Linked DNA regions of Callithrix jacchus. The protein of the gene in region 1 interacts with the protein of each later gene in a pairwise test. Links are inferred from orthologs where the notes say so. Each region holds a gene or a part of one and is shown in the gene's direction. Other genes may lie near its edges. The genes, in order: KASH5, BAG5, BET1, CDC73, NRIP3, SENP2 and RNF146.

The links.
Region 2: the proteins of KASH5 (region 1) and BAG5 interact in binary tests that used the Homo sapiens proteins (3 or more experiments, as listed by UniProt). The two-hybrid records come from large-scale screens. The link is inferred for Callithrix jacchus from reciprocal best matches to the Homo sapiens genes KASH5 and BAG5.
Region 3: the proteins of KASH5 (region 1) and BET1 interact in binary tests that used the Homo sapiens proteins (3 or more experiments, as listed by UniProt). The two-hybrid records come from large-scale screens. The link is inferred for Callithrix jacchus from reciprocal best matches to the Homo sapiens genes KASH5 and BET1.
Region 4: the proteins of KASH5 (region 1) and CDC73 interact in binary tests that used the Homo sapiens proteins (3 or more experiments, as listed by UniProt). The two-hybrid records come from large-scale screens. The link is inferred for Callithrix jacchus from reciprocal best matches to the Homo sapiens genes KASH5 and CDC73.
Region 5: the proteins of KASH5 (region 1) and NRIP3 interact in binary tests that used the Homo sapiens proteins (3 or more experiments, as listed by UniProt). The two-hybrid records come from large-scale screens. The link is inferred for Callithrix jacchus from reciprocal best matches to the Homo sapiens genes KASH5 and NRIP3.
Region 6: the proteins of KASH5 (region 1) and SENP2 interact in binary tests that used the Homo sapiens proteins (3 or more experiments, as listed by UniProt). The two-hybrid records come from large-scale screens. The link is inferred for Callithrix jacchus from reciprocal best matches to the Homo sapiens genes KASH5 and SENP2.
Region 7: the proteins of KASH5 (region 1) and RNF146 interact in binary tests that used the Homo sapiens proteins (3 or more experiments, as listed by UniProt). The two-hybrid records come from large-scale screens. The link is inferred for Callithrix jacchus from reciprocal best matches to the Homo sapiens genes KASH5 and RNF146.

The regions. Positions count from the first base shown.
Region 1 is NC_133523.1:43,158,454-43,161,953, forward strand, and holds part of KASH5 (protein KASH5), read left to right. Parts: intron 1-514; coding exon 515-619; intron 620-1,117; coding exon 1,118-1,304; intron 1,305-1,781; coding exon 1,782-1,846; intron 1,847-3,500. UniProt on the Homo sapiens protein: As a component of the LINC (LInker of Nucleoskeleton and Cytoskeleton) complex, involved in the connection between the nuclear lamina and the cytoskeleton.
Region 2 is NC_133509.1:138,390,412-138,394,485, reverse strand, and holds the start of BAG5 (BAG family molecular chaperone regulator 5), read left to right. Parts: upstream 1-1,274; 5' UTR 1,275-1,728; coding exon 1,729-1,826; exon of another isoform or gene 1,827-2,021; intron 2,022-2,741; coding exon 2,742-4,074. Other genes in the region: COA8 (cytochrome c oxidase assembly factor 8), read right to left, coding at 816-938. UniProt on the Homo sapiens protein: Co-chaperone for HSP/HSP70 proteins. It functions as a nucleotide-exchange factor promoting the release of ADP from HSP70, thereby activating HSP70-mediated protein refolding.
Region 3 is NC_133512.1:55,613,280-55,617,561, forward strand, and holds the start of BET1 (BET1 homolog), read left to right. Parts: upstream 1-1,482; 5' UTR 1,483-1,491; coding exon 1,492-1,588; exon of another isoform or gene 1,589-1,676; coding exon of another isoform or gene 1,677-1,695; intron 1,696-4,282. UniProt on the Homo sapiens protein: Required for vesicular transport from the ER to the Golgi complex. Functions as a SNARE involved in the docking process of ER-derived vesicles with the cis-Golgi membrane.
Region 4 is NC_133519.1:50,305,204-50,309,428, forward strand, and holds the start of CDC73 (parafibromin), read left to right. Parts: upstream 1-1,425; 5' UTR 1,426-1,624; coding exon 1,625-1,755; intron 1,756-1,847; exon of another isoform or gene 1,848-1,983; intron 1,984-4,225.
Region 5 is NC_133511.1:74,880,337-74,884,586, reverse strand, and holds the start of NRIP3 (nuclear receptor-interacting protein 3), read left to right. Parts: upstream 1-1,450; 5' UTR 1,451-1,524; coding exon 1,525-1,698; intron 1,699-4,250.
Region 6 is NC_133516.1:14,535,634-14,539,921, forward strand, and holds the start of SENP2 (sentrin-specific protease 2), read left to right. Parts: upstream 1-1,488; 5' UTR 1,489-1,591; coding exon 1,592-1,692; intron 1,693-4,288. UniProt on the Homo sapiens protein: Protease that catalyzes two essential functions in the SUMO pathway.
Region 7 is NC_133505.1:133,838,641-133,842,901, forward strand, and holds the start of RNF146 (E3 ubiquitin-protein ligase RNF146), read left to right. Parts: upstream 1-1,461; 5' UTR 1,462-1,693; intron 1,694-4,261. UniProt on the Homo sapiens protein: E3 ubiquitin-protein ligase that specifically binds poly-ADP-ribosylated (PARsylated) proteins and mediates their ubiquitination and subsequent degradation. May regulate many important biological processes, such as cell survival and DNA damage response.

The DNA.
Region 1 (3,500 bases):
TGCCAGCCTTGCCTTGGGGATGCAGGGAGGAGAGAGCCCTGGTCCCCAGGGTGGGCTGGGAGACCGGAGATGCGGCAGGCGGGATCGATCTGGGCTGCCCACGCATTATTGGATTGTTCCTGGCTCCTGAGCCCCCTTCACTCTCAGCTCCTCCCAGAATTCTCTCTTCTTTGCCCTCCCCTGCCCTGTCCCTCTCTGAGCCCAGCCTAGGAGGCTGGAGAGGTGAGGAGGAGAGGATGATCTCAGAGCATCCTTATCTGGGCTCCTAAGCCAATTGGACACAAAAAGATAGCAGAGGGGACTTCCTAGTCTGAAAGATGGGGGGAAGTGACTCAGAGACCCTCACATTGTTGCCCCCTCCTGAAGCTTCCTGCTGTTCCGCACCAGCCCTAACTCTAGGTGCTCTGAGTGAATTCCCTCCCCTCTGCAGAGCCCAGGAGGCTGAAGACCTGGGGTCACCCCTTTTCCTTCCTCATTCTTCTCACTGGGGAGCTGGGCCCTCTTGTCCCCACAGTGTACCTCTGGAAGCAGCCTGAGGAGGCAAGTCTGGGAACGCCGCTCAACTTGGAGGAGCAAGTACTCAACTCCACATTCGAAGCTTGTGATCCTCACAAGACAGGTGGTGGGGGCAGGAGGGGTGCTGGGGACCAGTGCGGACAGGATAGGGATGGAGGCTGGGAACTGGGGAGCCTCAGAGAGAAAACCGGGCTAGGGCCGCCTCTTGGGGGTATTGTAAGAACAAAGTGCATGACTGTGGGCAACTTCAGGAAGAAGAAAGTAAGGGGGTGGATGCCTTTTAGAATGAGGAAAACTCTGGGGCTATTGATGAAGGAGGGTAGAGTTTTGGGGTCTTGGGATGGGGAAGGGAGGCAGCCACCATGGTGGGGTGGGGCATGGGGTACTGTCTCCATATCCATCCCCTTTGGTTCACCCTGTGATGGACAGGTGAAAAAGTTGACTTAGAGGAGGGGAAAGGACTTGCCCAATGTGTCTCCACTGGGCCTGAAGCAGGAGTGCCACCAGCCTAGCCAGTGACATCCTGCTCCCAAGCTGCTGCCATTCCATACCCACCACTCCCCACCTGCCCCAGACCCCCTCACTTCATGCTCTGTCCCAGGCACTGTGGCTGTGGCCCAGGTGCTGGCCTACCTGGAGGCTGTGACAGGCCAGGGTCCCCAGGATGCACGCCTCCAAACATTGGCCAACAGCCTGGACCCCAATGGAGAGGGCCCTAAGGCCACCGTGGACTTGGACACTTTCCTGGTTGTGATGCGTGACTGGATTGCTGCCTGTCAACTGCATGGGTGAGTCCCCACACCTTCATCCTCCTCTGGGAAGTCCTTCCTAAGATCTAACCTCATACCCACTTACTGCAGCTAGCATTCTTTAGGCCCAAGGACCTACTGTGTTTGAAATGAGACTGTGGAGAGAAAAATGAAGAGATGGGATTCAGAGAGGGTAGATAGAGAGTCAGTCTGAGGACAAAATAATTTGGATGAGGAGGCAGAGGGGGCCTGGGAGTCAAAACAGGGTTGGAGAAGGGAGGAGCTTGGGGGCTGACAGAGAAGTCCCTCCCCATCCCTTCACCAAACCCAGCCCTTGCCCCTCCTGCTTTTCCATCTGGCTGCAGGCACTGGCCATCTGGCCCCATCATCCTCCCCTGTGGTGCCAGCTCTTACCTGACCTGGTCCCCTCCTCCCACCTGCAATCCCCCTGCCTGTGGCTGGTGAGGATTGAGGGGTGGCTACAGGGGGGCTGTAAGCCTCATCCCTTTGATACAGGGGATTAGAGCTGGAAGAGGAGACCGCCTTCGAGGGAGCCCTGACCTCCCAGCAACTGCCATCTGGTGAGATTTCTATATATAGAAATGAAGCAGGCAGGCCCTGGGTCAGACAGTGTGGGGACTTACCACCCAGGGCAGAGCAAGGGATAGGGTGGGAACCAGGGACCTAGTTGGGTAAGTGTGGCTTTCTAGGTCCTCCATCCCTTCCTTCCCTGAGCTTTTAGGGTGTTTTTTCTTCAGAGGGTAGTTTCCAATTCCTCCTCACACCAGCCCTATTAGAGAGGCCTACAAAGCCCTGCCTACCTCTGCTCCATCATCATTAACCTCTCCTCCTCCTCACTCTAGTCCAGGCACTCAGGCACATTGGCTCTGCTGCCCTACCTTGAATGTGCCTCACTTCTGCCCAGCACAGGCCCCTGCTCAGGCTATTCCCCTCCACTCCTCAATCCCCACCCCCTGCCCGACTTTTCACACCATCCTTCATCCATCATACCTCTGGCAAAGGGGAAGCCCTGGGATGCCCCTGGCTAGAGTTCCTTGCTCCATGCTCACTCATGGACTAGCAGGTCTTTCCGCTGGATCACCTACCTGCAAAGGAAATCTGATTATTTAGTTATCCACTGGCCCCTGGGTTTATTTGGTTGGTTTGCTCACCATTATATCCCCAGGACCTCACACTTAGAGGCAGTGCTCCATAAAAAAGTGGTCATGATTACAGGCTCACGCAGGGAGCCTTGGCCTCCCAAAATGCTGGGATTACGCCAGCATTTTGGGAGGCCAAGGTGGGAGGAACATTTGAGCCCAGTAGTTTGAGACCAGCCTGGGCAACATAGTGAGACCCCATCTCTACTAAAAATTAAAAATTAGCCGAGTGCAGTGGCACACACCTGTAGTCCCAGCCAGGATGCTGAGGCAGAAGGATCACTTGAGTTTGGGAGGTCAGAGCTGCAGTGAGCCGTGATTGCACCACTGCACTCTAGCCTGGGCAATAGAGCAGGACCCTGTCTTTAAAAAGGCAGAGGAGCAGGCACAGTGGCTCATGCCTGTAATCCCAGCACTTTGGGAGTCCAAGACAGGTGGATCACCTGAGGTTGGGAGTTTGAGACCAGCCTGCCCAACATGGAGAAACCCCTGTCTCTACTAAAAATACAAAATTAGCCAGGCATGGTGGCACATGCCTGTAATCCCAGCTACCCAGGAGGCCGAGGCAGGAGAATCGCTTGAACCCGGGAGGTGGAGGCTGCGGTGAGCCAAGATCATGCCATTGCACTCCAGCATGGGCAACAAGAGCAAAACTCCAACTCAAAAAAGAAAAGGTGGTCATGTTCCATTTCTCCAGCCATACATACAAAAAAGAAAGTGGGGATGGAAGTTCTCTTCAACCTCCTTCATCAGACTTGGCCCAGGGAGGGCTGTGAGCAGAGGAGGGACTAGAGGCCGGGAGGCCAGAGAAGAGGCTGTGGTGAGGGTCCAGGAGGAGAAGGCAAGGGCTAGGGTGTGGAGACAGAGAGGAGGGGTGGAGCAGAGAGAGTCAGGGGCAGGAGGGAGAGGTCTGGATCCTGCTAGACTATGGGGGTGACAGGGAGTGAGGGAGCCAGGTCAGCCCAGTGGCTGGGTAGCCAGTGGGGGATCTGGGAAGGGGAAGTGCTGCCTAATGTTGGGTGTAAAGAATGTGGGGGGCTGGGGTTATCTGGAAGATCCAGCCTGAGCTCAAGGT
Region 2 (4,074 bases), on another chromosome or scaffold:
ATCGAGACCATCCTGGCCAAGATGGTAAAACCCCGTCTCTACTAAAAATACAAAAATTAGCTGAGTGAGATGGTGGGTGCCTGTATTCCCAGCTACACGGAAGCCTGAAGCAGGAGAATCGCTTGAACCCTGGAGGTGGAGGTTGCAGTGAGCCGAGATGGTACCACTGCATTGCAGCCTGGGCGACAGAGCAAGACTCCATCTCAAAAAAAAAAAAAAAAAAAGAAAATTGCTTGTCACTCTTTCTTGCTACAGACATTCTTTGCGAATCTTTGGCCGGTAACATGCATATACCCACACACAGTGTGCAAATAAGAACAACTATCCGGCCGGGCACGGTGGCTCACGCCTGTAATCCCAGCACTTTGGGAGGCCGAGGCGGGCAGACCACCAGAGGTCAGGAGTTCGAGACCAGCCTGGCCAACATGGTGAAACCCCGTCTCTACTAGAAATACAAAAGTTAGCCAGACGTGGTTGTGGGTGCCTGTGGGTGCCGGTAACGCCAGCTACGCGGGAGGCTGAAGCAGGAGAATCGCTTGAACCCGGGAGGCGGAGACTACAGTGAGCCAAGATCGCGACACTGCACTCTAGCCTGGGCAACAAAAGCAAAACCCTGTCTCAAATTAAAAAATTAATTCTCAGGAATAAATAAGGTAGGCACAAACTTGGCAGGTGACTCTGTTATGCTTAAAGCTTCTGGCTGTCAACAGTCCCCGACGGGGCGGCGGCACCCTTGGTCCCATCGGACTGAGGGCGTGGACGCGAGAGCCTTGGGGCCGCCCCTCCGGGCCCAACGTCCCCAGGCGCCAGCTTACCCCGCTGGGAGCCGCATCCCTGCGCTCGGCGCCGTGCTCGGGAGCGAGCTGACAACCGCGGCGGGCGAAGGCGCGGCAGAGAGGAAGGAGAAGGCGCTTCTTTCCCGCCCGCAAGGCCACCATGGCCCCACGGCGCCTGGCTCCCGCGGCGCACGGCAGCATTGCGACGACGCGAGGGACCGTTTTACGGCAGGGTCGCGAAGCCCGAGGGAGCGCGGCGACGCGGCCGATCGTGCACTTTCCCTGCGGTGCGACGGCTGCGGGGTCGACAGGCGAAGCAGGCTAACCCGACCGGCCGCTCCTTGGTCGCGGCCACTCCAGGCTGCCTCGCTGCGCGCTGGCGGTGGGCGTGGTGCTGTCGGCGGCTAGGAGCGGACGCCGGAGGTGTCCCCGGGTTTGGGGTTGTTCGGCCCGGGGCGGGGCTGGCGGGCCCGAGCGACGGCCGGGGCTGCGGAAGTCGCGGAGGCGTCGGCGGCGCGTCGCGCGATGGCGCGGGCGGGACAGGTAAGCAAAGTGCGGCGTGTGGCCTTTTCCCTCCGTCGCGGGGACGAGTGTAGCCTCACATCGGCGCGGGGCTCCCCACCCGGCCACCCCTGTCCCGGCGCCCACCCCCGCGTGGCCTGTTGGCACAGGCAGGACCGGGCGGGACCCGGTGTCGTCCCCGCCCCTGGGTCTGACGCGGGTCGGGGCAGGCCAGGTCTGGTCTCTGGTGTCTCCGGCGGGGCCTCGGCTGCCCTCCTTGCCAGGCTCTACCCGGCCGGGCCGAGCGCCCCTCGCGCGCCCATTGTGAGGTCAGGGCCGGCGGGCGCGCCCTGGCACCCGGGCCGAGACGCCCGGGGCAGCTGCTGCAGCAGTAAAGTGGCGGCGCCTTCACCGCTGCCCGGCTCGGACCTAGTCGGGAGGGGCGCGAGGGATGCAGCTGGGGGCCCAGCTCCGGTGCAGCACCCCGAGAAGGGCTGGTCTTCCACCTCCCACCTCAACCACGGGACGCCAAGACTGCAGCCAGCTCAGGTCTCTTCTGGGTAAAGGGCCAAGAGGGAAGGGCGAGGCGGGGAGGAAGGAGCGCCGGCGGCCTGCCCTCCGTGGCCGTCAGGACACCCACAGGGGGTGGAGGCTTTTCCGTCGGTTGCCCACCTCGAGCACGCCGTTTGGTAGAAACCAATAGCTTGAAACAGGTACTGAGCCACTGTGGACTCTCAGTGGGAAGCGAGTGAATGAATTATTCATAATTACCACGTGTTCGCGGGTCGTGTTTTTTTTGAGAGAATGGAGCATGGTAGGGGCTGAGGAGGTTCTGGGCTTCCAAGGCCCAAGATGGCGCCTTCAGCGCAGTCCCCGTCGCTCTTCTTGACCTGTGGGGTTTTTAGCTCTTCAGGGAGACACCTGTGAGGGCAGATATGTGAGGAGCTAAAAGGGTGGGGCAGGGAGGAGCACAGAGGCGAGGAGAGAAACCACGAAGCGGGAACCTTGGGGATGGCTGAGAGCCCCTGGTTTTGGTTCTAGTGGTTCAGTGTCTTTGGCTTAGAGTTTCTGGAAACTAAGGCATAGCTGTTTGGCGGGGGCGGGGTGCTGTTAATGTTTGGCAGGTTACAAGAGCTACTGCTTCACGTTGCACAAAGGTGCCTTGCTGGTTCCAAAAACAGAGTTTGTGCCGGGTGCAGTGACTCACACCTGTAATCCCAGCACTCTGGGAGGCGGAGGCGGGCGGATTGTCTCAGACAGCCTGGGCAATATAGTGAGACGTGCCTTTCCTAAAAGTGGTAACGTTAGCTGGGCGTGGTGATGTGCGACTGTAACCCCAGCCGCTGGGGAGGCTGAAGTGGGATGACAGTATACCTGTTTAAATGAGAATTTTAGTGTCTTAATATATCATTCATGTTCTGCAGAAGCTTTGTGCTGTAATAAGTTATTCTTGTCATCTTTTAGTGCTTGTGAAACTGACCACCACAAAAGTATGGATATGGGAAACCAACATCCTTCTATTAGCAGGCTTCAGGAAATCCAAAAGGAAGTAAAAAGTGTAGAACAGCAAGTCGTCGGCTTCAGTGGTCTGTCCGATGACAAGAATTACAAGAAACTGGAGCGGATTCTCACAAAACAACTTTTTGAAATAGACTCTGTAGATACTGAAGGAAAAGGAGATATTCAGCAAGCCAGGAAGAGGGCGGCACAGGAGACGGAACGTCTTCTCAAAGAGCTGGAGCAGAATGCAAACCACCCACACAGGATTGAAATACAGAGCATTTTTGAGGAAGCCCAGTCCCTTGTGAGAGAGAAAATTGTGCCATTTTATAATGGCGGCAACTGCATAACTGATGAGTTCGAAGAAGGCATCCAGGACATCATTCTGAGGCTGACACATGTTAAAACTGGAGGAAAGATCTCCTTGCGGAAAGCAAGGTATCACACTTTAACCAAAATCTGTGCAGTGCAAGAGATTATCGAAGACTGCATGAAAAAGCAGCCTTCCCTGCCGCTGTCTGAGGATGCACACCCTTCTGTTGCCAAAATCAACTCTGTGATGTGTGAGGTGAACAAGGCCCGAGGGGTCCTGATTGCGCTTCTGATGGGTGTGAACAGCAGCGAGACCTGCAGGCACTTATCCTGTGTGCTGTCCGGGCTGATGGCCGACCTGGATGCTCTGGATGTGTGCGGCCGGACAGAAATCAGAAATTACCGGAGGGAGGTAGTGGAAGATATTAACAAATTATTGAAATACCTGGATTTAGAAGAGGAAGCAGACACTACTAGAGCATTTGACCTGAGGCAGAATCATTCCATTTTAAAAATAGAAAAGGTCCTCAAGAGAATGAGAGAAATAAAAAATGAACTCCTCCAAGCGCAGAACCCCCCTGAGTTGTATCTGAGCTCCAAAACAGAATTGCAGGGTTTGATTGGACAGTTGGATGAGGTAAGTCTTGAAAAGAACCCCTGCATCCGAGAGGCCAGGAGAAGAGCAGTGATAGAAGTGCAAACTCTGATCACGTACATTGACTTGAAGGAGGCCCTTGAGAAAAGAAAGCTGATTGCTTGTGAGGAGCACCCATCCCATAAAGCCGTCTGGAACGTCCTTGGAAACTTGTCCGAGATCCAGGGAGAAGTGCTTTCGTTTGATGGGAATCGAACCGATAAGAACTACATCCGGCTGGAAGAGCTGCTCACCAAGCAGCTGCTGGCCCTGGATGCTGTCGACCCGCAGGGAGAGGAGAAGTGTAAGGCTGCCCGGAAACAGGCTGTGAAGCTTGCCCAGAATATTCTC
Region 3 (4,282 bases), on another chromosome or scaffold:
AACAAGCTCAATATGAACTAGCTTTGCCTTACTTCAGTTATATTCTTAGTACATTACATATATTTTTTCCTTTTAACTACATTTCATTCTTATGTCTTCCTACCATGTAAAGGAAGAATATATTTTAGGTAATTCAAATGATTAGTTTTGGTAAATATTAACTGATTTTCAAAAATGACAATTTCTACATTTTCTATCAGCAAGCCTTCATTAGGACAATTTTTAAACATGTTTCATTATAAAACATGCATTTTTTAATCAAACAAAGGACATAGATTAAAAGTTGTAATGGGATATCTAGCTATCATCTATTACTGAATCTCCATCTTTTATTTGTAATTGTCCCTGATTTTATCCTCATTTAATTCCATTGCTTTTAGAAAATGGCGTTTTAATTTTAACGAAGATTTTTTTTCCTATGGAAACCTTATTGAATAAGTCTTCCTTCTCAGGTTAATAACTCTCATTAAAAGTAGTTTTCATGTGTTTTATACAAAAACAACTTAATGCAGAGACTTGTGCCACTATTATGGTCAAGGTTAATAATGTCTTGGGAAACTATGAGAAAATACTAAATGATCAGAGATCACGTATTTGTGGAGTGGAGACGATTCCACTACCATACATATGGCAGCAACAACAAAACTGGAGATACCCAGTGGATTTTGATTACCTACTGTGTATCAGATTTTTCTTTCTCCGAAAACCATGATTACCGTATTCTCATGATAAATAATCCGGTGAGACAAAATGAAATTCTAGGATTAACCCTGATACCAGCAACATCTTCACTCGCCAACAAGCTTTTAAACCCCCAAACTGGCTCAATGCCTTGTGTAAGCAGTATTTCAATAACATTTGCGTAAGTTAAAAAAAAAAAAAAGTTAAGTGGGAGGGAATTTAGGGGTCCTTTGTTCCCTATAACAACTAAAAGTCTTGGTTCCTCAAATACAACAGATGCAGTAACAGTAACGGAACTATTCAGTGTCTCCTATGAGACCCCACGCTTTTCCTGGGCTGCTCCCATCTGAGCAGGAGTCTTACTCCAAGGAACCTGGTTTTCTCTCCTTTACTGGATACATGAGGTACAAAATCTGTTACTTCTGTGGATGTTGGATTACTTGTTTGTAAACTGAGAAACGTGGACAAAGTCTTCTCTAACTTTCCCTGCACTACCTCTGGAGGTAAGAGAGAGTACAAGGCTCAATCAGGAAAGTTATCCCAATCAACCTCTTGTGGGCCCGGAGGAGGAGATCTGTTAAGTTAAACTTGGTGGTCAATAAACTGAAAGCAGCGACCCGGAGGGCCGCGAGACAAGCAGCGGGGATGTTGGATAAGAAACCCAGAGTTAGAGCCGCAGCCGAAGCCGCCCCCTTTTCCGGAGCCCCGTCCGCTCCTGGAACCGGGTTCACACCACGCCACCTGCGACACGTTCTGCGTCAGTGAACTACATTTCCCAGAATGCCATTCAGGCTTCTTCCCAGGGCTCCAATGAGCGCCCTAGTGACGCCATCAGTCGGCTCGGTGTTTAGAATCTACAGCTGTCGTGGCGCTTTGCTGGAAGAAGTTGGTGTTCCGCGGGGCCCTGGTACTGAAGACGCGGTTCGGGTCACCCCTAGCTCTTTCCTACCCACCTAACCCCCCGCGCCCGCCTTTTTCCTCTCTCCTCTGGCAGGATGAGGCGCGCAGGCCTGGGTAAGAAGAGGGCCGAGGTTCGAAGTTCGGGGCCCTAGAACCGGCCATGCTGGGCGCGGGAGCGCGGGGGCGCGGGAGCAAATCGGAGCTATCTTTTGTTCTTGGCATTTGGTCCAAAAAGCAGGATCTTTAGAGGGTATCTTTTGGGCCTTGTCGAGTGGAAACACACCATTTGTCCCAGATCCTAGGAGTTTCCTTAAGTTTGAGTCAGATTCAAGTTTGGATGGTAGGCTAGAGAAAGCATTGGACTGGGGTGGGTGTGTACAGGTGACATCTCAGTGGTCGAGTGTTTTAGTGTTATTGACTGAGCTTGGTTATGGACACTGGTGTGTTTTACAAAGCCCGACTTCGGTTTCTGTTTCTCTACTGGCCCTGGATCTTTGTTTCTTCAGAAGCGGAATTTGAAGAGTGGGTAGTTGCACGCAAAGCACACTGATAATGGTCGTTAATCTGGTAACAGTGAGTTACAAAGGTAAATGTACGTGTCATTACTGTTAAAGGTCCTGGAACTGTAACATCTGGGTGAAAGGCGATTTCTTATCTGAACCTTGTGCCATGATTAAGGCAGTAGAATGTAGTAAGGTTTGGTATCTTAACATTTGATCTTGACCTTGGGGTTTAGGAAGCTGGCTCACCAGCAAGAATAAGTTAGGCACAAGGAATTTTAATGGTCCTCTATAGTAACATACAGCTATTAGAGCAGCGTTTTCTGGTTCTGAAGCTTTCTCTTAGGACAGTATTTTTTTTTCTAATAAGACTGCTACATTAGAGTGCTGTATACTTCAGAAAATAAATGAAACATTTGCAAAAAGATAATGTTATCTATCTCAGTCATTATAAGATTTAAAAAAAAAAAATTCCAAAAAGTGTCAGATATTTAAAGTCAATGAAAGTTGCCAATAACTATAGACTTGTTATCGATTAATAAATTGTAGTATGAGAAAGTTTTTTTTAATGAAGTTTTTATGACTACTTGGATCATAGAAAGAATGTAGGGCCAGGTACATTGAAGAGAAAAAAAAATAATTTTCAGCAAGTTTAGTTTTATATACCTAAATGTTTTTCTTGTTCATCATCATTAATGATAAAAAAGGATTTATTGTGTGCCTGAGTAAGCTCTAGGTTTACAGTTGTTTGCTGCCCTCTTTGTGCTCCCCAAAGCTTCCAGTCTAGGTGTGGAGTAGGAATATGTGCAAAGATAACTTATAGTACAAAGTAGTTGCTATATATCCAAATACCAGATAAGTTCTGCATATAAGTGATGGTCTCAGAGGCTTCAGATATAGATCACTGTATACTTTGTGGAGAAGATCCTTGTGTATCTTGTGGAGACTTAGGAATTTGAAGTAGACCTTGAATAATGGAGAGTGGGGGAAGTGAGTTCCAAATGGGAACTCAAAAAAGTAAGGGATTATGACTAAGCCAGTTTGGTTGAAGTAGGGGATGAAGGATCACACTGTGGAGATCTTTGCATGTGAGGCTGAAGAGTGGATTTCATGGCCAAAGAGTTTGGATTTCATCAGTAGGCCTCTAGGCCCTTTGGAGTATTTTTCTGTTGTAGTATGCCATGTTAAATTGCAGGAAAATGACTTGAGAAATGGTTCTCAGCCCCGGGAAGTTTTAAACTTATTGTTACCTGGACCTCAGCTCAGCCAGTTAAATTAGAATCTCACTAATTTAGAGCCCACTACCCCATACTCCTTTTTTTTTTTAAAGCGCTCTCCTGTGATTGAGAGGAGAGGTGATTACTTAGGTAACTGCTATTGCTATAATTTATATTGATGTGAAGTGACAAAGGCTTTTTTTACACATTTTTTTCTTTTCTTTTCCCTCCCTCCCTCCCTCCCTCCCTCTCTTCCTCCCTCCCTCCCTTCCTTCTTTTCTATCTTTTTTTTCTTTTCTTTCTTCTTTTTGAGACAGAGTCTCCCTCTGTTGCCCAGGCTGGAGTGCAGTGTTGCAATCGCAGCTCACTGCAGTCTCCACCTCCCAGGTTCAAGCAATTCTCCTGCCTCAGCCTCTCAAGTACTTGGGATTACAGGTGTGCACGACCACACCTGATTAATTTTTGTATTTTTTAGTAGACGGGGTTTCGCCATGTTGGTCAGGCTGGTCTCGAACTCCTGACCTCAGGTGATCCACCCACATTGGCCTCCCAAAGTGCTGGGTTTACAGACATGAGCCACTGCGCCTGCACTTCTTTTCATGTTTTTAAGTATCAATGTATATTGATCTGAAATTTTAAATTTGGGATTGTAGTGAATCTGATAGATATTCATAGGCAGAAGCTGTCACATTCATATGTGTCTCTAAATGGTTCTGTTAGCTTACTGATAGAACCTATCCAAAAGAAGAATCATTTTTCTAAACTAACAAAGGCTGTGTATGATCTTCAGTACCCGCTAGCTTTTTTACACCTTTCATAGCAGTATACCGCCAGAAGAGAAGTGGCTCTGTTCAGAATAGCAATTCTAGCATTTTATTTGTTTTTGTTTTTTTGTCCATTGTATTTGGGGTGGCTCATAATTTGAGAGAACATCAACTCTTTAATAGGAGAAATGTGCATTAACATATTTTTGTACAATAAACA
Region 4 (4,225 bases), on another chromosome or scaffold:
GGGCTCAAGCAATCCTTCTGCCTCAGCCTGGGATTACAGGCCTGAGCCACTGCGCCCAGCTGTTCGTGGTTTTTTTTTTTTTTTAGATGGAGTTTCGCTGTTGTTACCCAGACTGGAGTACAATGGCACGATCTCGGCTCAGCGCAACCTCCGCCTTCTGGGTTCAAGCAATTCTCCTGCCTCATCCTCCTGAGTAGCTGGGACTACAGGTGCACACCACCGTGCCCAGCTAAGTTTTGTATTTTTAGTAGAGACGGGGTTTCACCTTTTTGACCAGGATGGTCTCGATCTCTTGACCTCGTGATCCATCCGCCTCGGCCTCCCAAAATGCTTGGATTATAGGCGTGAGCCACCGCGTCCGGTTTGTTCGTGGTTTTAACTGAGCATTTTATACGATTGTATTTTCTTTTTCTTCCTTTAACGTGGAGTTTCACTCTGTCGCCCAGGCTGGAGTGCAGTGCTGTGATCTTGGCTCACGGAGCTTCCATCTCCCAGGTGCCAGCGATTCTCCTGCCTCAGCTTCCTAAGCAGCTGGATTGCAGGTGTGCGCCACCATGCCCACCTAATTGTTTTGTGTTTTTAGTAGAGAGGCCAGGGGATTGGCAGGGTGAAGGGACTGGGATAAAAAAAGTCATCATCCAAAGAATGGAGCAGGAGGATCCAACAGTGAGGATATTTCATTGACCTGCTAGACGCGTTTACCTTATCTTTGTATTAAGCCCATTTTCTTCATTAACTAGTTGATGCTTTGCGAAGCCCTATCACTCGACCAGAGTCAAATAACTAACAAACAGCAGTGCCCAGAATTTTTTTTTTTTTTTTTTTTTTGCTGGACTCGGTCTTTTCCATTCAAAACCAATAAAAACCCCAAACTCGTTATTTTTCACATCAAAAGCAAACAATAAACCCGAACCCAAACCCCAAGGGCCCCACCCTTTCAAAAGGGCTTCTCCGGATCACTAAGCCCTAGAGGTCATTGGCTAGGCCCGGGTCCGATCTAGATAGGAGGGTAATTCCAGTGTTCTGCAAATCCTTGCCAAATGCCAACCCGGCCAAAGCAGGGACGCGGGAGCCTCTGGTCGCACCCGAGGCCGGTGGTTAAATACTCAGTGCACGTGCTGAGGATGAAAGTGCGGACCTGCCACGCAGGTACGCGCGCACCTGTCGCCGCCGGGTGCGCGCCGCGGGGAACTGGGTACGTGCTGCGCGCGCACGCGCCCGACCGTGTTCCCCGTACGTGCGCCGTACGTGGGCGCGGTGCTTCGGCGCTCAGGGTTTCGGCGAGCGAGTGGGCTCCGTGCCGAGGTGAAGTCTGGGAGGGGCCCTTTTCCAGGCGGTCGCGGCTCCCCCTGGCGGCGGACTTGCGGCGCTGGAAGAGCGCAGTCAGGCGTTCTCCGCGGGCAGCCGGCGGCGGGGCCTTGCCTCAGAGCGCGGGGTCCTCGGCGGCCTGGGCGGCTGCTGCCCCTGCTGCTGTCGTAGGCGAGGACGGCTGTTAGTGCTGCTGCTGTTGGTTCGTCGCGGCTGCTAAGGAGGAGGAGGAAGAGGGCGAGGCGACAGGGAAAGAAGGAGGCAGGCGCGGCGGCAGCGGCGGCGCCCCGGGCCGGCGGCGGCGAGGGGGCGGAAGATGGCGGACGTGCTTAGCGTCCTGCGACAGTACAACATCCAGAAGAAGGAGATTGTGGTGAAGGGAGACGAAGTGATCTTCGGGGAGTTCTCCTGGCCCAAGAATGTGAAGACCAACTATGTCGTTTGGGGGTAAGTCCGGCGTGGCTGCGGCCCGCGGGTGGCGGGGCGGACTTGGGCGCCCCCAGGCGACCTCTTTGATAACCCCTCCCCCCGTTTCCCCCGGGGATGGGATGAACGGGTGCTCGGGGAGAGAAAGTTTCTCTCGAGAGCAGAAGTTGTACTTCTAGGGCGAGGAGAGAAGGGGAGGAGCTCTGGAGCCGTCCATCCCTTTAAATGTTTGCGAAGCCCCGAGGAAAGGTACCGTGGGAGTTTCGGACTTTTCACAGTTAATTCTTAGCGGTAGGTGTCGTGGGCCCGCGCAGTGTGGGGCTGGCGCACAGGGATACCTGAGCATAGGTGCACCAGGGGGCAGACCGTCTGCTGCCGTGGGCGGCACTTGTTTTGTTTCCTTTCCCCCTCTCTTCGGGGCTGCCATGTAACTATCTCCTCTGGTCCTGGGAACGCATGGCTTATTTCCTCTCCTTTCGTTGCTAACTGTGGGGAGCCACGGCTGCTTGTTCTTGTAGAGGAGAAAAAAACAATCCACTCTGAAGTTAGGATCGGAAAGAAACTGGGTGAATTTGGGCGAGTCATTAAAATCTGTGTGAGAGAGGTCTTCAGGAATTTCTCAGAGAGTTACTGGGGAAATGGGGTTCGCTTTACAGATCTAAGAAATTGATAGTGTGTGTTTTGGGAAGTGTGTTTTTAAAGGGAAGTGCTTTGCAATGTCGGTCCATGTGAAGTTTTGTCAATTTTAGTCATTCAGAAAAACTTACAGAGATAGGTCTAACAGTCGTTAGGGGCCTTTTTAATGATGTCACATCACTGTCATTGGTGCTTCACTTAGGTAATTAGAACCTTGAGCTGGAACTTAACCTCCTCATTTTGTTTGAATGGAAGCTTTATGAAGAGTCGATGAAAAACTACAGAAATTTAGTTTGTTGGTTGGTATTTATTTATTTTTGAGAGGGAATCTTGCTCTGTCGCCCGGGCTGGAGTGCAGTGGTAGAATCTTGGCTCACTGCAACCTGCGCCTCCTAAATTCAAGTGATTCTCCTGCCTCAGCCTCCGGATTAGCTGAGATTACAGGCGCCTGCCACCATGCCCGGCTAATTTTTGTGTTTGAGACATGGTTTCACCATGTTGGTTAGGCTGGTCTCGAACTCCTGACCTCAAATGATCTGCCCGCCTCGGCTTCCCAAAGTGCTGGGATTACAGGCTTGAGCCACCGCACCCGGCCTGTTGGTTGGTTTTTAATTTTTTTGGTCTTACAATTTAATTAGCTTTATAAAATGTTGATCAAATGACATTCAGAGCTTCTGTGTTTTACCCTTCCAAAGAATTTGCATAGATAGAATTACATGTGGTTGGATTTTTAATGAAAATTTTTTTTCTTTAAACAATGGCTAAGGAGTACCTAGAATGTGAAGTGGTTCAATCTGAGGATTAAAAAAATTTCTAAGTTGTGGTTTCTACCTCAAAGGAGGTTAACTTAATCCGAATACAGGAGTTTAAACAGGTAAGTTGGTGTGAAAGGCTTTCTATAATAGCTTATGAAGACAGCAGTCACTTCTAGTTAGAAGTATTTAGGGAAAGTTCTATAGAGTTGTCTTTGGCAAGTTCACATCCAACAAAGTTTTCTTGAATGAGTGACAAATAAGCTTTAAAGGGTAGATAGGAGTTCTCTGGGTGAAAATGATGGGTTAAGTCTTCCAAGATGAGTGAACTGTATGGTTAAAGGCATGAGAACTAGAAAGTAAATGTATTGACAGCAATTCAGTGAAGCCAGTGAAAAAGGAATGCTTAGCACAGTAGATTTTAAACTTTTTCAACAGTGAATCACATCAAGAAATTATTTTTATTTTCTGTATGTGCACATGCACATGTAAATATATACACATGTAAAATCATTCTTCTTATTGCACGCAGTGCATTTTATTTTTCTCTTCTATTCTGAAAATAGAAAAAATACAGTTGTTAACTGGGTTTCATAGTACAATAATTGATAGTGGTGTGTGGTTCGAAATACACCTGTTTAGAGGAAAAGCGGGACTAAAGCTAGCTAGAAAAGTAGGTTTAGGGCCGATTACTGTGGGCCGTACGCAGATGGATTCAAAGCTATATAGATGGGACAAGTGTAGTTAGGAAGGGTGCGATTGGAATGAGGTAACAGTAGGACCTGCATTAGAGAGCTTGCACCATTAGTATATCACGTTGTTTTATCACAGGTAGAGTAGGATTTTGGTTTTGCATGATTGGTCTAATTTGAGGGATGTCATGACAGTCATATCTCTGAAATCCAGTGCTGTGCTCACTGTAAGAATGTGAAGGGTGTTGTCCAACAGTGTTTTATTTAGCAGGAGCCGTAGGGTAAATTTCTTTCATATTCAGCACTGGTGGTAACTGTGCTTCTTCTGAGCAGTTTGATTGTTTTCTCTTATGGATCCTCTTCAATAAGGATATGGTTGAATTTCTTTATTGATAAAGCCCAGAGCCTAAT
Region 5 (4,250 bases), on another chromosome or scaffold:
AAGAGGGTAGGAGGGGGCACTACACGCAGAAGGAACAGGACAGTCAAAGGCAGGTCATTTGGCAAAGGTGACTGAAAGGAACTGGAAGAAGGCTTGAGGCTGAAGTGCAGAGTGGATACACAGGGTCTAGGCAGACCATGCAAAAATGTGGGTTTCTCCTAAGAGCAGTAGGAAGCCTTTTGAGGTACTCTTAGCAGGGAAGTGAGACGATCACAGTTGTCGTTTGAGAAAATTACTCCAGCAGCACAGTGAACACCGGATTGGAATGGAACCAGGAGCATTCAGGAGGCCAGACAGAAGGTATCGGGTATTTGCCTGTAAAATGGGGGTAATGAGAATACTATCTTACAAGCTGTTGCCAGGATTCAATGAGACACTGCATTTTAAGTGTTTATTTCAGTACCTGGCACATAGTGAAGGCTCAGTAAGCATCGATATTGTTACTTTTCTCAATGGTTCTTTGCAGAGTGCACATATTTCTTATCCAGGTCTGCTCCTGTGTGATGGGGCGAAGAGGGTAGTTGTGGTTTCCAGAGTGGAAACGTGGTTTGTATTAAATCACAGCGTCGAGACCAGAATCCAGGAGGCCTGAAGGCCCGATTAGAATGGATTAAAAGTATGGATTATTCAGGGGAAAAAAAACGGGTTCCAATTGCTCCTACTAAGGACGCTGGAGAGATGGTGAAAGATCCTTCAGACGGTAAGCCCTAGCACTTGTTGATAAAGGTGCTTTTCCGTTCGGAGAGCAGGTGTAGGGAACCGCACCTGCTTCCCCGGCTCGGGAACGCGGGCCAGGTGCCGGGCTGCAGGCAGAGGGTGTTCGGGCTAGGAGGTCCCGACAGACTCCTCCACACGCCCGCAGCGGCTGCCCCCTCCCCAGTCACGTGGCCCGGTGGGTGGGGACCGACTTGAAGTTGGAGAAATTCCGAGCACTCCCAACTTCGGAGGGAGTCGCCAGTCCTCCTGGCCCAGGCGGTGGGCGCTGGAGCCCCTTCTGGCGGCGTGCAGGTGTGCTTCTGAGAGGCCGAGCAGCGGCGCGGGCGGCGGGAATCGAGGCATGGCCCGGCTGTCGGTGATCCCCGGGTCTGCCACAGCGTGGACAGGTGAGCAGGGACCCGCGGCCAGAGGCGGAGGTGGCCGGGGCTGCCAGGGCATCGGACCCCAGAGCCCACGGCCGTCCAGGGGATGCGGGGCTTCTATGCGGGAGGAGGCGGTTGGACGAAGCGGCCGCTTTGGACTCTCGGCCCTCCAGGTTGGTCCTGCCAGCGCCGCCCCCTCCTCGCTCTCTTTGCCGTGGGCTGGGAAGCGCCGACCTGAACAGGGTACGGGGGAAGTCCGGGAGCCGCGCGGGGCGTGGATGCTGTGCCGGCCCCGCCCCCCGCGCGCGCACTGGCTGCTCCCCGCGCCGTCACGCTCGGCTATAAAAGGCGCGGCGCGCGGCCCTTGCGGTGCTGAAGGAGCTCGAGGCTGAGGCTGCAGGGGAACCGCGGGCGACCCGGCCGCTGGGCCGCAGGCGCCTCAGCGATGTTTTACTCAGGGCTCCTCACCGAGGGTGGCCGCAAGGAGACCGACATGCGGGAGGCGGCGTCGCTGCGACAGCAGCGCCGGATGAAGCAGGCGGTGCAGTTTATCCACAAGGACTCCGCCGACCTGCTGCCCCTGGACGGCCTGAAGAAGCTGGGCTCGTCCAAGGACACGGTGAGCTCCCCGGCCCCGGCCCGGGCCCCGGCGGCTTCGCGCCCGCGGTCTCCCGAGGCCCTGCCGCTGCGGCTTTCACTGAGTCACGGCCCGGCCCGCCGCTGTCCCTGGCTGACTCTCGCTGGGTCTCGGATTCCTCCCCTTCCAGCACCCCTGCTGCGGTCTCGGTGGGGATTCCGTCGTGGCTTTTCTAGCGCTCCCCTCGGCTGTGCCTCCTCCCTGGGTGTCTCTCTCCTCTCCAGTAGAAGGAAGAGACCCTGCCCTGCCCTGCCCTCCTGCCCTTCCCTCCTTCCCTCAGGTCTTCTTTCTCTCCCCTTATTCTTAATACCCTGAATTTTGTTCATGGGGCTTGTGCCTCACACGCTAGGTGTCTGGTCCTATGACCAAGACAGAGGTGATTCCTAATGGCTGTGTGAGGAGAGACAGAAGTGGAAAGGGTTTTTTTTGTTTTTTGTTTTGTTTTTTTTTTTTTGACAGTTGCCAGATCCAGAGGTTTTGTTGAGTCCATTGTCCCCCTAGGCAAAATCTACTTCTCTAGTTTTGGTCCTGTCTGCCTTTGATCTTCCATCCTGAGTGGGGAGAGAGAAAAGGGGTCGAATGTGAAGGTTTCCTGAACCCCCAACATCTCTTCATCATTTTCTTCTCTTCCAGCCCCGCCCCCAAGGAGTGGGTAGACAGAGGAAGCCAGGCTGCTCCATCTCACCGATCAGCTCATGTGTGCATTTGGAGCTGGGGTGGGTGCAGTGTTTTGGTTTTTCTTTTTTTCCCCTCTAGTATGGCTGTTCTTGGCATTAAGTAGAAGCAGCCCAGGACAGGGGTCAAAGATGGTACTGTCTTCTTTCTATAGAATGGGATGGATGGCTAAGGATTACCGATATAAAGAACTGTATCTTGTCATCCCTCAGCCACTGTCGTGGTCCTGAGCCAAGTTTATGTTTAGCTTTATAGTTTTATCTGGAGTTTTCTTGTAGTTTGATTGTTTTTTTGAATTTCTCAATCGCTTTATGCATTTGTGTGGTAATGTATAAAACACTAATTAAATGTCTTTAACAAATGAAATAGGTGCTCTGCCTAATTTTCCTAGTATTTTTTTTTATGTTAAGCTTTTGAAATGTTTAGTTTTGGATGTGGTTGTTGGCCCTAGTTCACGAAATTGCCATTTCTGGTGCCAGGAGGGCAGAGCTTCTGCATCCATTTTTTTTTTTTTTTTAATCTAACAGCTCTAATGACACACAGGTACCAATATCATCTGTCTCCTCCCTGCCACCATTAGTTACTTCTGTGCAGGGTTTGTCTACTTCAGTTATCTTGCTCTGTTTTTTAAAAGTTGTGTGTGTGTGTGTGTTTTGCACAAGCCAAAGGATAGTTTATCTGATTTATGCTAACCCAGAGTGATAAGTGATTGAAATGTGCTCCTGTGAAAGAGATAACTCTCTTTCTCCCTTCCTTCACTTTAAAGCGATCTAGATTCAAATCTAGATCAAATCTTGAACAAATCAGGTTCAAGAAGTATTATTTCCTTCAGGCCAAGTAATCCTCTCCTAGTTCCTAGAATGCTCAGCAATCAATAAAGCCAATAAAGAAGGAAGTATTAAATTAAGAGATGATTTAAAATACGGAATTTTTTTAATGCTGGAATTTGGTTGTCCCGGGTTGTCAAGGAGTTTCCTGGTTCTGAGAACTACCTGAGCTTCCTTCCGTCTAGGATTTCTTATAAGACTACTTAATGCTGTGTAAGAATTCCATCCACTTTTCTGACTCCAGTCTGTCTCAGTTGAGTCATGAAAGGCTGATAGCATAGAGCACAGGCAGTAGGCTGCAAAAAGGAAGGAGCCTCAAGAAGTAGGATATTGCCGTGAGTATGACACACACTCACACATGCCAGTTGACTGTGAGGCTCTGAATCATGCTTCATGCTTTCTGTACCCCATCGTCGTGGAGTTGATTTCCCTCTCACTGTTTTCACACCTATGATGTGCAAGTGATTGCACAGAACAGCCAGGTTACAGAAACCAAGGCAGACTGAGGTAGGGCTAGGAGAGCTGCAAGCGCTGGAGTGAGGCAGCATGCTTAAACTCTCCGACCTGTTGTTGCAGCCTCAGTACAATCTTAGAAGTGATCTCAGAAGTGCATTTATTTTTCTTTTTTCTTTTTATATGTAAATTAACTTCAAAAATCATTTTCTATGAAGTACATTCTTATAGTTTTACTTTATAAATACATCTGGGATAGACCAGTGTTGACTCCATTTTCTCTCACTGCAAGGGAAATTTGGAGGATGGGAAAATTAATTGAATAGTTCTTAGTTGAAGTAGTTTATAGTATAATCTTGACATAATGGGTCCAAGAAAAGGGATGGGATAGCACCAAAGGGAGATAAGGGAGAGAGGAAAAATTAGTTGTAACTGACTTGGGTTTGTGAAGATGGTAGGTTGTCATACTAGTAACCTATATTTGAATTATGCTGCTGGGATTTCTGAATTATCTACCTCTTACTATGCTGTTTCTGTAATGTTCACTGCTTGATACCAACTTGCCAGCCCTTTTAGAAT
Region 6 (4,288 bases), on another chromosome or scaffold:
GGAGTGTAGTGGTGTGATCTCGACTCACTGCAGCCTCTACCTCCTGGGCTCGGGCAGCCCTCTCACCTCAGCCTACCAAGTAGCTGGGACTACAGGTGCATACCACCACACCCAGCTAATTTTTGTATTTTTTGTAGAGACAGGGTTTTACTATGTTGCACAGGCTGGTCTCAAACTTCTGGGCTCAAGCGATCTGCCCACCTCGGCCTCCCAAAGTGCTGGGATTAAGGCAGGAGCCACCTCTCCCGACCTATAGTAGGCAATTAACTAGAAGTACGACTTTGGGATTGTAGAGGGAGGGTAATGAGACTCATTCCTTACCAGCCCAGGGTAGGAGACATTAATGGCCGGCAGGTTTCACCCTTAAATTTCTGTGAAGCCTTTCTTGACATCTGCCCTTTCCTTCTCTCCTTCAGTGTGTGCTTTTCCTTTCTCTGGCTCCCACTGCACTCTGCACATACCTTTATCACAGTAACCACTTATGCTGTATTGTAATTTGTAATTATCTATGTACACGTCTCCAAGTAGACTGACCTTAAGGGCTTGTACTCAGCCCCCGGGTTCAAGTTCCAGCTACGTCTCTAGTTAGTTTTGTGATCTTAGGCAAATAACTTAATCGCTCTATGCCCCAATTTCCTTGACTTATAAAGTTGGCATAAAACTCTCTGTCATATGCGGTTGCTGGGCGACATTAAGGTGACAATGCGTGTAAAGTACGAGGCAAAAGGTAAGTACAAAATAAACGGCTCTTGGCCGGGCGCGGTGGCTCAAGCCTGTAGTCCTAGCACTTTGGGAGGCCGAGGTGGGTGGATCACGAGGTCAACAGATCGAGACCATCCTGGTCAACATGGTGAAACCCCGTCTCTACTAAAAATACAACAAATTAGCTGGGCACGGTGGCGCGTGCCTGTAATCCCAGCTACTCAGGAGGCTGAGGCAGGAGAATTGCCTGAACCCAGGAGGCGGAGGTTGCGGTGCGCGGAGATCGCGCCATTGAACTCCAGCCTGGGTAACAAGAGCGAAACTCCGTCTCAAAAAAAATTTTTTTAAAAAATAAAAAAAATAAATGGCTCCTAAAACGGTAAACATGTGTTAATTAACCTGATCCACCTTTACGTGTGCAAACACTTGAGCACCAAATGTCCTCTGGAACCCCGGAACGCCTTCTCCTCGGTGGAGCAGCCTCACGTGTGGCCTGTGGGCCTTGTCCCACGGGCCGGCTCGGAATTGGCTCCGCCGAAGAGAAAACTCTGCCCACAGCCCTTCCGATCTCGTCAGCGATTGGGCCGGGGCCGTCCCACACTTATTCTTGTTGCTGGGCTCGGAAATAGGGGGCGCTGCCAGGTTGCGCGTGCGCAGATTGAGAATGAAGTTTTCCGGTTGGGCGGGAGGAGGTAACGTCAGGAGCGGTGGCGGGCGGGGGCCTCGGGTAGCCCTGGGGACGCTCTATCTGTGGGCCCTTAAATCGCGTCACAAATCAGCGACCGAACTCCGGCTGTGGTGGCTGAGACGGCGAAGGCGGCAGCGGCGGCGACAGCTCTGGGGTTTGCGTCTCGGGGTGTGTCGGCCGCCGCTGCTGCTCGGGCCTGGTATGTACAGATGGCTGGTTAGGATTCTCGGCACCATTTTCCGTTTCTGCGACAAGTCGGTGCCCCCTGCCCGGGCCCTCCTGAAGAGGCGGCGCTCAAACAGGTGAGACCAGAGGGGGCTGAGCAGCGGCCTGGCCCTCCCCCCTCCCCCACAGCGGCCTCCTCGGCGGCTGAGATGCTTTGATTCAGCCAGGCTCACCTGAGGCGGGTCACCGGGGTCCGAGTGACGTAGCCGCCCCCGCCACGCCGTGGGGAGGCAGCTCCTGGTCGTCTTCGGAGCGGCAGATGATGGCAGGGTCGTTGACGTTCTTGTCAGAGGCCACGCTGGTTGCCGATAACTAATGGGGCTTTGCCGCGCTAGGCTGAACACCAACATTGAAGGAATACTGCCTTTGTTGTGGCTCACTGCTCACAAAGCAGCCTCCCAAGTGTCATCTGCGGTCATTAAGTGCATTTAAAGGAAGTGAGAGTCATACATTGCCCAAAGCCGTTTTGACTGCAACCACTGTCCTTGAAGCGAGAAACAGCAGCTGTTTTGTTCTGAAACAGCTGTCAAACAGTCTGTGTTTGGGGCCAGAAGGGTTTTGTGTTTTAGAATTAGTGAATGAGAAAAAAGGGCTACGTGCCTTATTACTTTAAAACAGTCACTAGTCTGTCCTCTTAAATTAAGTTAAAATTTGGGGGAAACTCAAAGCAGTTTTCTTTTTCTTTTCTTTTTTTTTTTTTTTGGTTGAGACGGAGTCTTGCTCTGTCGCCAGGCTGGCGTGCAGTGGCGCGATCTCGGCTCACTGCAACCCCCGCCTCCTAGGTTCAAATGATTCTCCTGCCTCAGCCTCCTGAGTAGCTGGGATTACAGGCGTGTGCCACCACGCCTGGCTAATTTTTGTATTTTTGGTAGAGATGGGTTTCACCACCTTGCCCAGGCTGGTCTTGAACTCCTGACCTAAAGTGATTTGTCCACCCCAGCCTCTCAAAGTGCTGGGACTGCAGGCATGAGCCGCCGTGCCCCGCCCCAAAAGCTGTTCTTATTTAGCATCTGCTCTTTGGAGCGTCCCATTTTATCGAATCGACTGACCTCCTTGCCTAGAAATTAATCTAGAAAATAACATACAAATTCTGCCCCCTCCCCAAGTTCAGTGATCAAGTGTTAATTTCATTTTTTAAAAATTAAGCCTCAATATCAAGAAAAGTGAAAGAAGTGGTGATTTGTGGAAGCTTGCGAGGACAAGATGTCTAATACGTTAGTCTGAGAATGCAGGTTATTAATGAAATTGGTTGTTGCTTAAACTGCATCTCTGGAATACATTGCCTTATTTTTCTCTCCTATCTTTCTGTGGTGTTGATGTAAGGTTCATTTGAGAACTTGTTGTAAAGTGCTTAAACTGATGCTCAATGTATATAAGGGTAGTGTTTGTTTATTCTACCCCGGGGTCTTTTGCAGACTCTGGTGCATGATAAGCACTAGGTACATATTTATCAAATAACAGAAAGTTAATTCCCTTTCCCTTGTCCTCTTTTTGATGTGAGTCCCTTCTAGTCTGGGGAACATGGTTTGGAGATCAAAACCTTGATTTTTACTACATGTTAAGTGTGTTCACATCCTTAATCCAATTTTCAGTGTAAACCAATTTTCAGTCAAAATGAAACCAGGAGGCTTGTTGGAATGTATAAAGGTATGAGCTGAGTGGAATCCTGGGATCTCATTCTTCTCATTTTGTGTGTGTGTGTGTATGTGTGTGAATATAATAGATGATAGGTGTTCAGAGAGACGATGAGTAATATGCTGTGAGCCTTTAACATTCTTGACATCTGGATCCTGAAACTTTCCTCAATTCCGAAGTTCTTTATTACCACCATAATGCAATGTAGTTTGCATGATAAAAGTTATTAAACACCTTTTTCTGATTCAGATTTCTCTCTTTTAAGTTGTAGAACAGGTTTTTTTTGTTGTTGTTTGTTTGTTTTTTGAGACGGAGTTTCATTCTTGTTGCCTAGGATGGAGTGCAATGGCGTGATCTAGGCTCACTGCAGCCTCTGCCTCCCAGGTTCAAGCAATTCTCCTGTTTCAGCTTCCCGAGTAGCTGGGATTACAGGTGCCCACCACTATGCCTGGCTAATTTTTGGTATTTTTAGTACAGATGGGGGTGGGGTGGCATGGGGGGGGCGTGTTTCACTACATTGGCCAGGCTGGTCTTGAACTTCCGATCTCAGGTGATCCACCTGCCTAGGCCTCCCAAAGTGCTGGGATTACAGGCGTGAGCCACTGTGCCTGGCCTTGTAGAACAGTTTTTTTTTTTTTTTTTTTAACTCCCTTACACACACAAAAGAAAAAACAAAAATTAAAAAAAAATATCTTTTAAGGCTGTTCATGTTAATACTGTCACCTAAAGTAAAAGATGGCTTTCTAGGCTGGGCGCGGTGGCTCACGGCTATAATCCCAGCGCTTTGAGAGGCCGAGGCGGGTGGATCACACGGTCAAGAGATCGAGACCATCCTGGTCAACAAGGTGAAACCCCGTCTCTACTAAAGCAAAAATTAGCTGGGCATGGTGGTGCACGCCTATAGTCCCAGCTACTCAGGAGGCTGAGGCAGGGGAATTGCTTGAACCCAGAAGGCAGAGGTTTCGGAGAGCCGAGATTGTGCCATTGTACTCCAGTCTGGGTAACAACAGCGAAACTCCGTCTCAAAAAAAAAAAAAA
Region 7 (4,261 bases), on another chromosome or scaffold:
ATAAATGAAAGGAATTAAATATGGGTTTGAACAAGAAAAGATGCAGCCATTTTCTTAAATACAAAGACCCTGGGTATGAGTGAGAAACAGTTGTAGTTGACATCTTACTGTCTGTGCCTGGATTCAAATCTCAGCTGTGTGCTTCTTTCTGTAAAATGAGAATAACAATAGTGCCTACCTCATAGTTTATTAGGAGAATTAAATGGGTATATATAAATAAAGCACAACACCTGGCACATAGCTAATTAATAATAGCATTATTTCTTCAAGTTGGAATCTTTGGGTACATTATCAAATTTTAGCTATTCTGTGTTCATGGGCTGTGTAGGATAGAGGGATAAAACTGAGTGGCTAATAAGAAGATGAAGATAGAAAACTAAGCTTAAAGGACATACACTTCAATATTTCTATATGTACAGAACTTGTAAGAAAAGCAGTTTTGCATACATGAGCAAGCATCACTGAACTAGATGGCACCTTTCAAGAGACTGGTTTACATATTGAGATATGAGAATGAGAACCCTGAAATAAACTGATTCAGAGGAATAACAGAAAACATATAAATTTCTATACATATAAGGTCGCTGAAAACTTCCCATCCTGAATGAAACATTTAATGAAATCCCAAAACGCAACACTATTGCAAATAAGACACTGTCATAAAATTTTGAAATACATACGCTTTTAAAGATAAAAGGCCTGCTCTTCCACCCTCTTCATTTTCCTACAAATTAGGAAAATTTAATCAGTTCTGAAAAAGGAAATGTACATGCGAAAATGGTGAATACTGCTAGAGTTCTGATGTTTTAAACCACAGGCTTGCGATCAAAATAACCTCTTTAATTTTAGATTCTCATGCAGATTAATTTCTTTCTCCAGTTTTTCAAGCACTATTCTGTTTTTTTTTTTTAAAAAAAGGAGGGGTTCAAAGGGAAAGTAATATCCATGCTTTTCCCGATTAAATTGCTCAACCATTAAAAAGGTGAATAAATTAGAAAGCCCTAGAATACTCTACCCCCTCGGTCCGCCCCCCACCACCCTTTTTTATTTCTTGAAAGGGAAAAGCAGTTCTTTTGCCAGGGGATCTTCAAGCCGAAACTCGGCTAGGCACCCCAGGGCTTCTCCCGGATCGCAAAACTGGATTTCTGCGCAGCACCACCTGCAGTTCCTACACGCGTTTTACTTCCTCCACCCCAAATCTGCTTGCTGGAGCTGCATTCTTTCAGAGCCTCTGGCCCCTAATACAAACAAAGTACACTCTAAAGCAGCCAGAAGGATCCAAGCAGCGAAGTCGCGGATCCCCACAGGCAGGAGAGTGCAGGCAGGCAGCGGCGCGAAACCGGGACGGAACGAAGAGACGCCGGAGCGAGCCCGCGGGTGCGCGGCGCGGCTTCCGCCCCGCGCGGCCCCGCCCCCGCGACGCGCCGGGTGGTCACGTGAGGGCCGCGCGCGTCCCCGGCCGCTGCGGGCTCAGAGGCCGGAGAGAAAAAGACTGCGAGGTGTCCGCTGCTGTGGCCAGAGAGGTGGCAGTCGGAGCGAGGCCCTGTCGGGGGAGCAGGGAGAACTCCGGCCACTCCAGGACCCTCACTGGGGGAGAGGAAGCATAGCTCGCGGTGTCACCTTCAGCCGCGACGTACTCCGGGTCGGCCTTGCGCTCGGGGCCTGAGAGGGGCGGCGGCGGGGTCAGGGGCCGGTACGTAGATGGACGCCCTTGGGCTGGCGCGGCCGCGGCTGCCCGCGCAGAGGCGGGATGGGACAGCTCAGCCTTTTCCGCCACCCCAGCCTTGGCTGCGGTCGCAGGCTAGACGGCCGTGACAGCCCCTGTGCTGCCCGAGGGCGCCGCAGACCCTGCCCTGGGTGACGGCCTGAGCTGGTCTCGGTCGGGGTGCGAGGGGCGGAGCAGCGGCCATTACTGCGCAGCCTCTTCCGCCGGAGCCCGCGTCGGTGCCTCGGGTAGCAGGCGGGTCCCTCTCCTCCCCCTGGGCCGTGGTGTCAGGCCTCTACGCGGGGACCTTCTGGCCTCGAGGTGTAGGGGCGGCGATGGTTTTTTGGCAGTAGCCTGCTCCCTGTTTCCCGTGTGGGGTCAGACACTTTGGGCCTTGGGTCAGATCGAAGCCAGGGCGTACAGTCTGCATTTTGTCTTTTCCCGGAGTGTCTCTGGCTGCTGCTTTCTCTGCTCTTTCTCTTCCTCCTTTTTCTCCTCCTGCTCAGTGTCTCGGTCTTGCCTAATACGAAGAGAGCATTCCTGCACCTTGTCCTAGTGAAGCCCCGCATTGCATATTCTTAGCTGTTTTGACGGCTGTTAAAGCATCGGAACAATTAAGAGGTCTCAGAATGTCCCTTGAGCCTCCAGACCCTCTGTACATCTTAAAAGCCGAGGCTGTTGCTTTGTTCTGGTTGTTGGGTGGGGAGTTCTCTTCCTACCCTCCATCCAGTCTGAAGGAGTGCGGGTCTTCCATTGTTGTCGCTATTTATTTTTCAAAGGCTTCTAAAGAATGTAAAATTATTTTTAAGAATGTGGAGAGGGAACCGTCCTCTCCACAGGACTGTAAGTTTACACACACATCCTGGCAACAAGAATCTTTTCTCGTTCATCATTTTGGTATACGTTTTAATTTAAGTGCCGTTTTAGTGAGCACTTATTTCTCAAGTTTTGAACATTTTAAGTGATATTTTTGTAATATTGAAACAATGTACAACTGAGGAGAGAAGAAAGCCAAAAGATGATGGGGAACGCTTTGTTCTTTGTATGATTGACATTTCAGGTGCTGGGCACATCACCCCCACCCCGTGTGTGTACTTTTCAAATGGGATGTGAACGTATAATATTGGCATTCAATGCAGTATATAATTATAAATCTGGAAGACTTAGGACATTTTAGTCAGTGAATCTATATTTAGACTTTTAAGACATGGCACGTAAGGACACATGAAGAAAATATCCCACACAAATAACAGGATTTGTGATTGTGCCTTTGCTGTTTTATGACTAGCAAATACTGTTTTTGTGGACTGTCTTGGTGCCCTAAAAACACATGAAAATAGGTCAAGTAAATCTCATTTTAAAGAGAAAACTGGAAGAGTGAATGCCACTCTAAAAATAGATTTTGGATGTGTTTGTTTTGGTGCCTTGTATATTTTAAAGTGGAGGATGTTGTTCAGCCCAATCTTTCATTTACAATTTGTGTCTCAAATGGGCCAGTGTATGCTGTGGGCAGAATGGAAATACATTTAGTTTTTCTTTTCTTCGATGGTTGTTCAGAACTTGGTAGAATTATAATCATCAGGAAAACTTTGTCCAAATAGCTGGTCTTTAGACAAGAGGAAGAAAAAACAATTAACTGTTTTGTAAAGGCGATGTCCACTTGCAAAGTGTTTTGTTTCAGTCTCCACCAACTTACATTGTCAGAAGAAAGGAACAGACATTTTTTTTTAAAAGGATCCAAAACGATATTTTGAGTTAGAAGAAAAGGATATTAAATTTTCTGTTTTCACAATATCTATCTGTTTAAAGAATATTATTTTATGTGCTAGCCATATACTAGCATGAAACGTCTAACAGCACTGTCAGTTGGGAATTCGAATGTGTATTTTTCTTCGGTGTTAGTAATAAAAGGTACTGAGCCTTTTCCATTCTCTTACCTGGTTCCCTTGTGCCTGAGGAGTCTCAATTTGTGAAAACAACAGGCTGGATCGGGAACAATCTTTTTGGGTATAGAAACCAATTTATTTAACACTTGGCTACAACCACCTGTGCTTACTTATGAACTATCTTTAGTTTTCATGGCTTATTACCTTTTGGGTTAATTTAAATCCAAAATGGTTGTTAACTGACTGCTAATTAAAGCATTTAGAACGTAAAATATAAAGTAGGACGAGATAACAAAACACTGGGGGTTATGACTTGACCAAAGTCACACAGATAATTTGCCAAAGAGCCTTTCTTATTTATGAAATGGTTGCTGGCTAAGAAACATCTGTGTTTGATATTATTAAAAGATTTGTTCACTTTTATATCTCATGTTTTGAAATAAAATGCAAAGCCCACTTTTTTGTTGTTGTTTTGAGAAAAATTGAAGGGTTTAAAGCGCTAGTATAAAGATTGTGAGGTCAATAAGTAGATTGCCACATAGTAACGTTTTTAAAGGGAAATATTCTTTAAAGTATCAGACCCCATTTAGTTGCAGTGAGTTTTGTTGAAGTTTTCGAGTATGACCTATGCTTTTTCTTAGCTCATTTTTAGCAGGTGATGATGAGGGCT